Linked DNA regions of Arabidopsis thaliana. The protein of the gene in region 1 interacts with the protein of each later gene in a pairwise test. Each region holds a gene or a part of one and is shown on either strand. Other genes may lie near its edges.

Region 1 (3,007 bases):
TCCTTCCCTGGACCATGCTGCTTCCTCGGGACTTCTTCGTTTGCTTTATTCCCAGCCATAGCTAAAGTTGCTATCTCGCCGGAGGTTCAAATTTCGTCGGAATAAACAGTAACTTTTTCTTGGCTTCGCCGGGAAAAACAGTAACTTTCTCTTCCCCGGATGTGGGAGTTCAGTGACTCAATTCAACTACCCAACAATTCGAAGTTATGTCGAATTTTGAAACAATGGATACTGAATTTCGTTTCGCTTTCTAATTCTCTCTCAAATCTCTCCGTTACTCTCTTCTCTTTTTCTTTTTCTTCGGTTTCTTCGTTTCAGTTTTTTTGTTTTGTCTTTTTCAAAACTGAACCGCATCAACTAAACCGAAACCAACTGCTGTAGGGTTTGGTTTATGCCATCAACTGAACCGATACGAACTGCTGCACGGTTTGGTTTGTGCCATTATTAAGTTTTCCCAAGGTAATTTGGTCCGAAATTGAATGAAAAGACAAACCGTAAAAACCAGTTCTCACTTTGACAAACGGTGAGAGCAAATCTTTTTTCGTCCACTTCTGTAAATTTTTTTTTAATGGTTAGTTTGCTTTTAATATTAAAATATTAAATATATTGGTTTTGAGACACTAAAAAAATAATTATGCAATGAGAATGCTCTAATGGTCTAATCTATGGTTTTCCGTTGATTAATACAAACCTTATTTTTTATTACTTGTGTCAAATTTCACCGTCCTATTTTTGGTGTCTTCAAACATCTTTGTTTTATGTTTACCTTTTTTGTTTTAATTATATTATTAAAGATTGTGTCTTGGTTTGAAGGAAAGAAAAATCTTTAGATGCATATTCTATTGTTTTTAAGCTCTTAATTTTTTATTAGAGTTTCAATTGGCTTAACTACAGTGACAAATAAAAGAATTAATGATCGATTGTGTTTCGACGATGATTTTTTTACCGAAATATATACCCAACGACCAAGGTTGATCTTGGAAATCGTACGATTACTCATCGAACACATGTTGTTTTGCACGCAGTTGTTGACACGTGGGTTTGGATGGAGTCAAGACACAATTTCTTTTGCAGTTAAACAGTAATCTTATAAGCTCATATTGTACCTCAATATTTTTATAATCTTTTTTGGGATTTTTGGTATAGTCTATGTATATGTAAATAAAATATTAAAATATTGCAATTGAGAAAGAAGAAAAATTTAAATATTTTAGATGCTTAAAAAATACAATTGACATAAAAGAGTATTTTATGGACAACATGAAATATATCAAAAATAATAATCCTTTTCAAATTTCTATTCGAGTAGCAATTTAGTTTTAGGTCTTTGAGAAGAAAAGAAAAAAAAAAGCAATTTAGTTTCAGGCATTTATGTAAACAATAATGATAAAATAGTATTACTAATTCAAATATATACGACCGTCATTTTCGTGAGGCTAAAGGTCAAAAATCTATTACAATACTTTTGTGAAGCCCATTATGTCAATATAACCGTTAAACCTCATCATAGCCGTTACATCTTCTCCCCAACGGGCGCTTAGTTTCTTACTTTACCTATATAAAACTTGAAACAAACAAAAAAAACATAATTTCACAAAACATCAATGGCTTCTTTTCACAGAAAGTTATGTTTGTTCCAAAACATTCTCGTATCGTGTCTGAATTTCACTCTCCTCCTCCTCTCCCTCTGTTCTTTCGTACCAATCATTCTTCTTAGAAACCCTCCAACTTCACTCGGTTTAGCCTTCCTCGCAGTCTCACTCGTCTCTCTGATCTCCTCTTTCGGTAGTGCCTCTTCGCACCAATCTCGATCATGTTTCATCGCGCGGATAACGCTTCATGTTTCCTCACTGACGGGTCAGTTTATTGCAGTTTTAATGTTGTTTAGTAGAGAGAAACAGAGTCTTTCTTTGCTGATATCGACTCGAGACCCTAGAGAGGCTAAAGCTTTGGTTAGAGTAGAATGTGGTGTTTTCGTGGCGATGATTCCGTTACAGATAATGGTTCTAGTGCTGGCTTGTTTGTTACATTGTTATTGGGTTAGAGAGTTCGAAGGGTTAGATGTTGAGAGTGAAGATTCTTTTAGAAGAAAATGTAACCGAAGAGTCTCGACCGCTGAAGATGGGACTAGTTCGGATTTAAAGAAAATGGAGTTGGACGAGAAGATGAATGTGAAACATGTTCAGTGGGTTAAAACAGATTTCGAAGGTTAAAGTGTTTTTATGAATCTATAGTTTGTGATTATTGTTCAAACTTCAAAGTTATATTTTATGTCTTAGTTAAGAAAATTATTTATTTGCTGTTACAAAACTTTGTTAGGTTTTCTACAATGTTGTAAGTAATATGTATGGCTACTTGAATTGTCCTAGTAATGGTTGATCTTGTATTTTTTTCTCTCGTACATCCACCATTAGTGGGTAATTTACATACATACACTAGTACAAAGATGCATGTATTTATTTTGCATTCTTTCATAACCATAAGAAAGATGTCTTAATATCATCATACTACGATCCATTAGCTGTTCCTAAGATCTCAGAGATTCAAAGCAAATTATTCGGCTCAACGATCAAACACATCCTAATGTAAAAAGAAGAAGAACCAAAAACAACCTAATCCAAAAGGGAAAAGCACCAAAAACCTAACTAGAAACTCTTTAAGACTGGACTCGGGTTTTGGAAACCTCTACGGTTGTATGTGATACCGTATCTCGTATCAATATCTTGACCTTGGGTGAGGTGGTGGCAAGCTTCAACAGGTTCTTCAATATCTTGAGCTTGGGTGAAGCGGTGGCAAGCTTCAACAGATTCTTCAATATCTTGAGCTTGGGTGAAGCGGTGGCAAGTTCCAATAGATCCTTTGTGAGTTGCACCTTTTGGGGGTCATCCATTGGAGATGACAACTTTCACAACTTCAAGACACTCCATTTCCAGTAAGAAATGGCTAATCTGTTTCAGCACGTGTGCACTTCCTTGATAATGCATGATACTCAATATCTTTACTTGGT
Region 2 (5,115 bases), on another chromosome or scaffold:
AAGAACCACAAACATCTCCTAATCCTCCTGTTTTCGAGTAAGGAGCCGCCTCGGATGTAACGAAAACAAGGTTATTGACAACTTCAGCTTTTCCACTCGGAATCCCAACCTCTGCAGCTCCTTCTTCAACAGCTCTATTTCCAGGTACGCCAAAGTCAGCCATTACAATTTGATCAATAGCCTCTTTCTTCTCTTCATGATGTGTAATTTCTCCTGTGCTAGTGCTAACTGTTTGTTGATCACCTGTACAAGGAAAAATCGAGTTCATCTTCGAGATTCTGAGCAAAATCGTGCTACTTTATATCAGAATTTTTTGAATATGAAAGATTCTGAAATTTGAAAAACGTAATAGCTTTGAATCTGAGGACCACAAGCAAAATTCAAGAGAATCATTCACTTTTTACAAATTGAAATCACATTCGATAAACCATCACAAAATCCCTAGATTATGCACAAATCAGAGAATAAATCACTGTTCGTTGAGGAAATTGGAAGAAACACTATGAAGAACTCAATCACGAGTTTAACGACATTTACCAGGAGGAGTGAGCTGAAAGCCAAGAACGGAGCCAGAACCATCTCTCTCTGCGTCTGTGATAAATCTCTCTTCATCAGACTCACGAGAGTCACCGGAGAAGGAAGAAGAACGACGAAGCAACAATGACCGTCCGATACTGAATCTCCGTCGAAAACGAGGAAATCCGAGACTGGCGATCGGACGGAAATGGCGGATCCGGTTGAATCCAACGAACGGCTCGAATTTAACGGAGCCACTGATTTGAAGAGACGCCATTGATCAATTAAAGAGTGAGAGTTTCTTCGACTGTTACAGATTTATGTTTGATTTCGTCTGGTTGTTGGGGAAGATTGAAACCACCTGTGGCCTATCTACTACGTAAAGAATCTCCTTCCAGCTTCGCCGACATGCTTCCAAAACTTTAAAGTTAACCACAGAGAAAGAGTACACTAAAACCTTTATTCTTTGCCAAAACAAATTTTTTTTTTTTGTTTGATATTTTAGTATGAAACAGAATCAATTTTAATTTTATTCCTTAAAACACATTATCATTTCCATAAGAGTCATAACCAACATAAATATGTAAAAATTTCGAACCAACAAAAATAATTTCAATAGTTGCAACAAATATTTTCTGATCTATGCAATTTTTGCCTTTGGTTTTATAAAATTTACTCTCCGATATTTTAATGGTTTTATTGTCCCAAGAGGATCTATCAGAAAAGCGCGAAGATCAAGAACGAGTAAAAAAAAGATCACACACTTCTTGCCGAAATTGGAGCCTCATATTGTGCCACGTGTAAATTAGTGGGCTCCAGTTTATGTGTTCCAGCTTTATGGTGATTTACTTGGATTGGGCTTTTGGTTAATTTTATGGGCCGATTATTGTGAATGAAATATATAGGCCCAAGAAACAAATGTCTAATGGGCTTCATAATAAATAAGAAGTCATTAACTATACACGTTTTGAATATGGTTCGTTGTTTCCAACTAACTGTAACGTTTCCCACTTTCCTCGTCATTATGAGTTATTAAAGAGTTGACTACTAGTATTTTTATCATGTGATATTCATTTTCTGTAGTAATTTATTTTACGTGGTATCATACTATCACAGTTTGTATTTATTTAATCAATATTGCACCTTTCGTATTACTTCTAATATTTTTTAATCATTTAAAATCATTTTTCTAAAACCTTATGGATCAATTTCATGACATATACTGATGACAAAAAGAAGACATATACTATACCACACAATTTTTTTTTTTTGTTTTGAAACTGACATATATTAACATGTTTAAATAGAGTGCTAATTAACTATGACACCTTCCCTAATTACCAAAATCCAAAAGTAATCCTCGTTACGAATATTTAACCCCTCGTGCTTCCCTCGTGGGTATTATTTATGTATATATATAAAAGATCATATGATTGGACACGATAATTAGGAACAACTGTGTTTTTTTTTTAAATTTAAAAAAGAAAAAAGAAGAAAAGAGAGAGAGAGACTCACAAATCATAATATCTCCTTCATTAACTCATAATCACTTTAAAGAACATTGGAATCAGATTCATTACATAGGGATTGATATGGAAAAGTCAAACCAACCAGTTCATGTAACCTTGTCCGAATTGAAGGACGGAGATAAAGAAATCGTTGATGCTGAATTTTTGGTTGATCTTCTTGAGAGCTATAGATTTGGTAAAGATAATGTTCCCGCCCGAGAATTTCGATCCAAGGCGGCAGCGACGGCTCCGGCGCCGGTCAACACCACCGAGATAGAGTTGGAAGAGGATAATGATGGATCTCAAGCTCAAGGTACATTAGTCAACTTGTCAGTTTCTTACATGTTTTTTTGTCTTTTAATTTTTGGTACCTCTACTAATTGGTTAGGATCCTAATTTTTAACCGGACACAAACCTGCTTAACCGGTAGATCAATCTCTCGTTTATTTTTGGTATTAATTGCCATCGTAGGTAACAATTCTGTTAGTGAAAGTACATCATCGCTATTTTCCGATTCAGATCCAATAGTACTTGAGAGTACTGTGAGCGAAACCGGTTCAAACGAAGAATCTGAAACCGGTTCAAACGAAGAAAATGGTAATAATTGGTTAGAGTCGAGCTCCACAAACTTGCCAAATGTAGAGAACAAAAGGCAACGGAATGGAGAAGATTGTGAGATAGAAGAGGAAGAAGAAAATAACGAGAGATCATTATCGGATTCAGAAGAGAAGTCAAACCTAGAGAAGTTGCTTGGGACACAAGAAAACTATGAGCTTGGAAATGAGGATGAAGAAAAGAACGAGAGATCATCGTCAGATTCAGAAGAGAAGTCAAACCTAGAGAATTTGCTTGCGACACAAGAAAACTACGAGCTTTACTGTCCTAGCTGTAGCACATGTATCACCAGAAATGTGGTTCTCAAGAAAAGAAAACGAGGGAAGCACGTTAATTCATCTCTGGATCTGAAACCCGATATACCGGTTGTTGAACCGGACGAACCAAGCGACATTGAGGAGATGGAATCACCAGTTAAGGTTTATGTCCCTGAGACTCGGATTGAGGATGATCAAGAAGATAAAGAGGGAACTATCTTTACTTGCTTGGTTTGTGATCTAAAGTACTTCATCCGGTTAGGTAAATCAAACCTTAATTAAACCGGTTCTGAGTCAATTCTTTCCAGGTTTTCTTGGTTTTGTAAACTTGATGGATCAACCCTGGTTTTATATTTTAAATTTCAGGAACAAAGTTCTTACAACTTGATTATATCAGGGGAAAACCGGTTGAGAAATCAGGTATGTTATCGTGAATTGAAACAAAAATATTACTCCTCTCACCTAAACCGGACTAGACAAATTGATTTCAATTTGGGAAAAAATCAACAACGGTTTCTTTGATCATAAAAAATGTTTATAGGCTTATCTTTGGTATTTGAATATTCGATAGAACTACATATATTTTGTACCCAAAGAAAATTTGCAAACTATATGCAGTTGAAGAATATATAGATGTGAGGAAGAGTATAAACACCACACAATCACCACCACAAATTCAACCGGACGGAGAAAGATTCGCCATTGAGTTGTTAAAGAGCACCGTCTACGGCGGTCTCACTGAGACCATCACCAGCCTCGGCGTTGTATCATCTGCTTCTGCCTCTGGTTCCTCCACCAGTAAGTCTCTAGACTCCATTTTCCTTTTAGTTAGCAAACAAATGCGAGATTAGTTTATCGGCTATCTAATCATCAGATTGGTCCTTGTTATAAATAGTAACACTATATAATAATTTCGTCTATTATTTTTTGTTGTTGTTTCAGTGAATATATTGGCTCTTGCTGTCGCAAATTTGGCCGGTGGGCTCATCGTCCTCGCTCAAAACGTAATTACTTGAACCAAAAAACGTTTTCTCGTGCCACAGATTGCCTATGGGGTTTCTTATTTTAACCGGTTCGGGTTTTTTTTTATTGCAGTTTCAAGATCTAAGAAACAGTTCAGATCAAGAGAAAGATAGGTACGAGGAATTGTTAGGGAGACGTACTAAATCCCGGATACATATCTTAGTAGCGGTCATGTCTTACATTTTCTTCGGCCTAATTCCTCCGTTAGTTTACGCATTTTCCTTCTACGAAACCGGAATCAAGAACTACAAGCTCATCTCGGTTTTCTTGGGTTCTCTGGTTTGCGTAATTTTGCTCGGTTCGATCAAGGTCTATGTCCGAAAACCAACCAATTCATGTGGATCGACTAAAGCTTATCTCAAATCTGCGGCTTATTATACGTCTATTGTTGTTGCTTCTTGCGGAATCTCATACGTTGTCGGAGATATTATGGGAGAGTATATCGAGAAGCTCAGTTTGGTTGGTTTAGACCAGATCAGTATAACTTCACCATGTTATGGAATTAAACCCGAGGAGTGCCGGTTTACTTCCTTTTAATATACAGTGGGACTAAGAACCGGTCTGACCAACGTTGTATAATTTCTGTTCTAATTACTTACTAAATCTCTGTATCTTTTCTAGTAAAAAATCAAAACTAATGCTTTCATAGAATAAATGTGTTTTGAGGTTTTTCTTTAATGATGTCTTATCTCTTTCCGAATGAAATAATCGGAATGATGCGGTTTAACTGCGGATAAGATACAGTAAAATTTAAATAGTAACAAAGATATGGTTTCGTCACCATTCAAACTATGTGTATAACAATGTCAAGCTCCATAGGTATATAAGATTTGTATAATTGTAATTGAGGAGAGATTTTGACATGTTATATTGTTAGCCATATACAACAACTTTTTATATATTTAACCAGTTAGTTAAATCGTTTGATTCATTAAAAAATGAAATTTATTTATTTTTAGTAAAAAAATAAAAGATAAAGATATCTTTTGATCAATAAATACAGTCCACATATATATCAAGTCAACAAAATAAGATCATACTCCCAATTTTTACTCAAAATATAATGTAATTAAATGCTAAAGATATAAATGTAAATACAATGTTTTGGGTAATTTGATGTGACGACAAATAAAAAGAAGAAAGTATTAAGCTGACGTGTGATAAAGGAAGTGCGTGCGCCCGAAGCTTTCACACCC

Evidence for each region. The genes of interacting proteins can lie anywhere in the genome.
Region 2: the proteins of AT3G42725 (region 1) and MEB2 interact in a two-hybrid assay, tested with the Arabidopsis thaliana proteins (one large-scale study listed by BioGRID).

The regions. Positions count from the first base shown.
Region 1 is NC_003074.8:14,842,288-14,845,294, reverse strand, and holds AT3G42725 (Putative membrane lipoprotein), read left to right. Parts: upstream 1-1,576; 5' UTR 1,577-1,604; coding exon 1,605-2,213; 3' UTR 2,214-2,446; downstream 2,447-3,007.
Region 2 is NC_003076.8:8,262,612-8,267,726, reverse strand, and holds MEB2 (Vacuolar iron transporter (VIT) family protein), read left to right. Parts: upstream 1-1,978; 5' UTR 1,979-2,108; coding exon 2,109-2,337; intron 2,338-2,495; coding exon 2,496-3,158; intron 3,159-3,262; coding exon 3,263-3,316; intron 3,317-3,514; coding exon 3,515-3,694; intron 3,695-3,838; coding exon 3,839-3,900; intron 3,901-3,991; coding exon 3,992-4,456; 3' UTR 4,457-4,595; downstream 4,596-5,115. Other genes in the region: SS1 (Glycogen/starch synthases, ADP-glucose type), read right to left, coding at 1-243, 538-793. UniProt on the Arabidopsis thaliana protein: May sequester excess cytosolic iron and manganese into endoplasmic reticulum to reduce metal ion toxicity. Not essential for the accumulation of ER body components, including PYK10.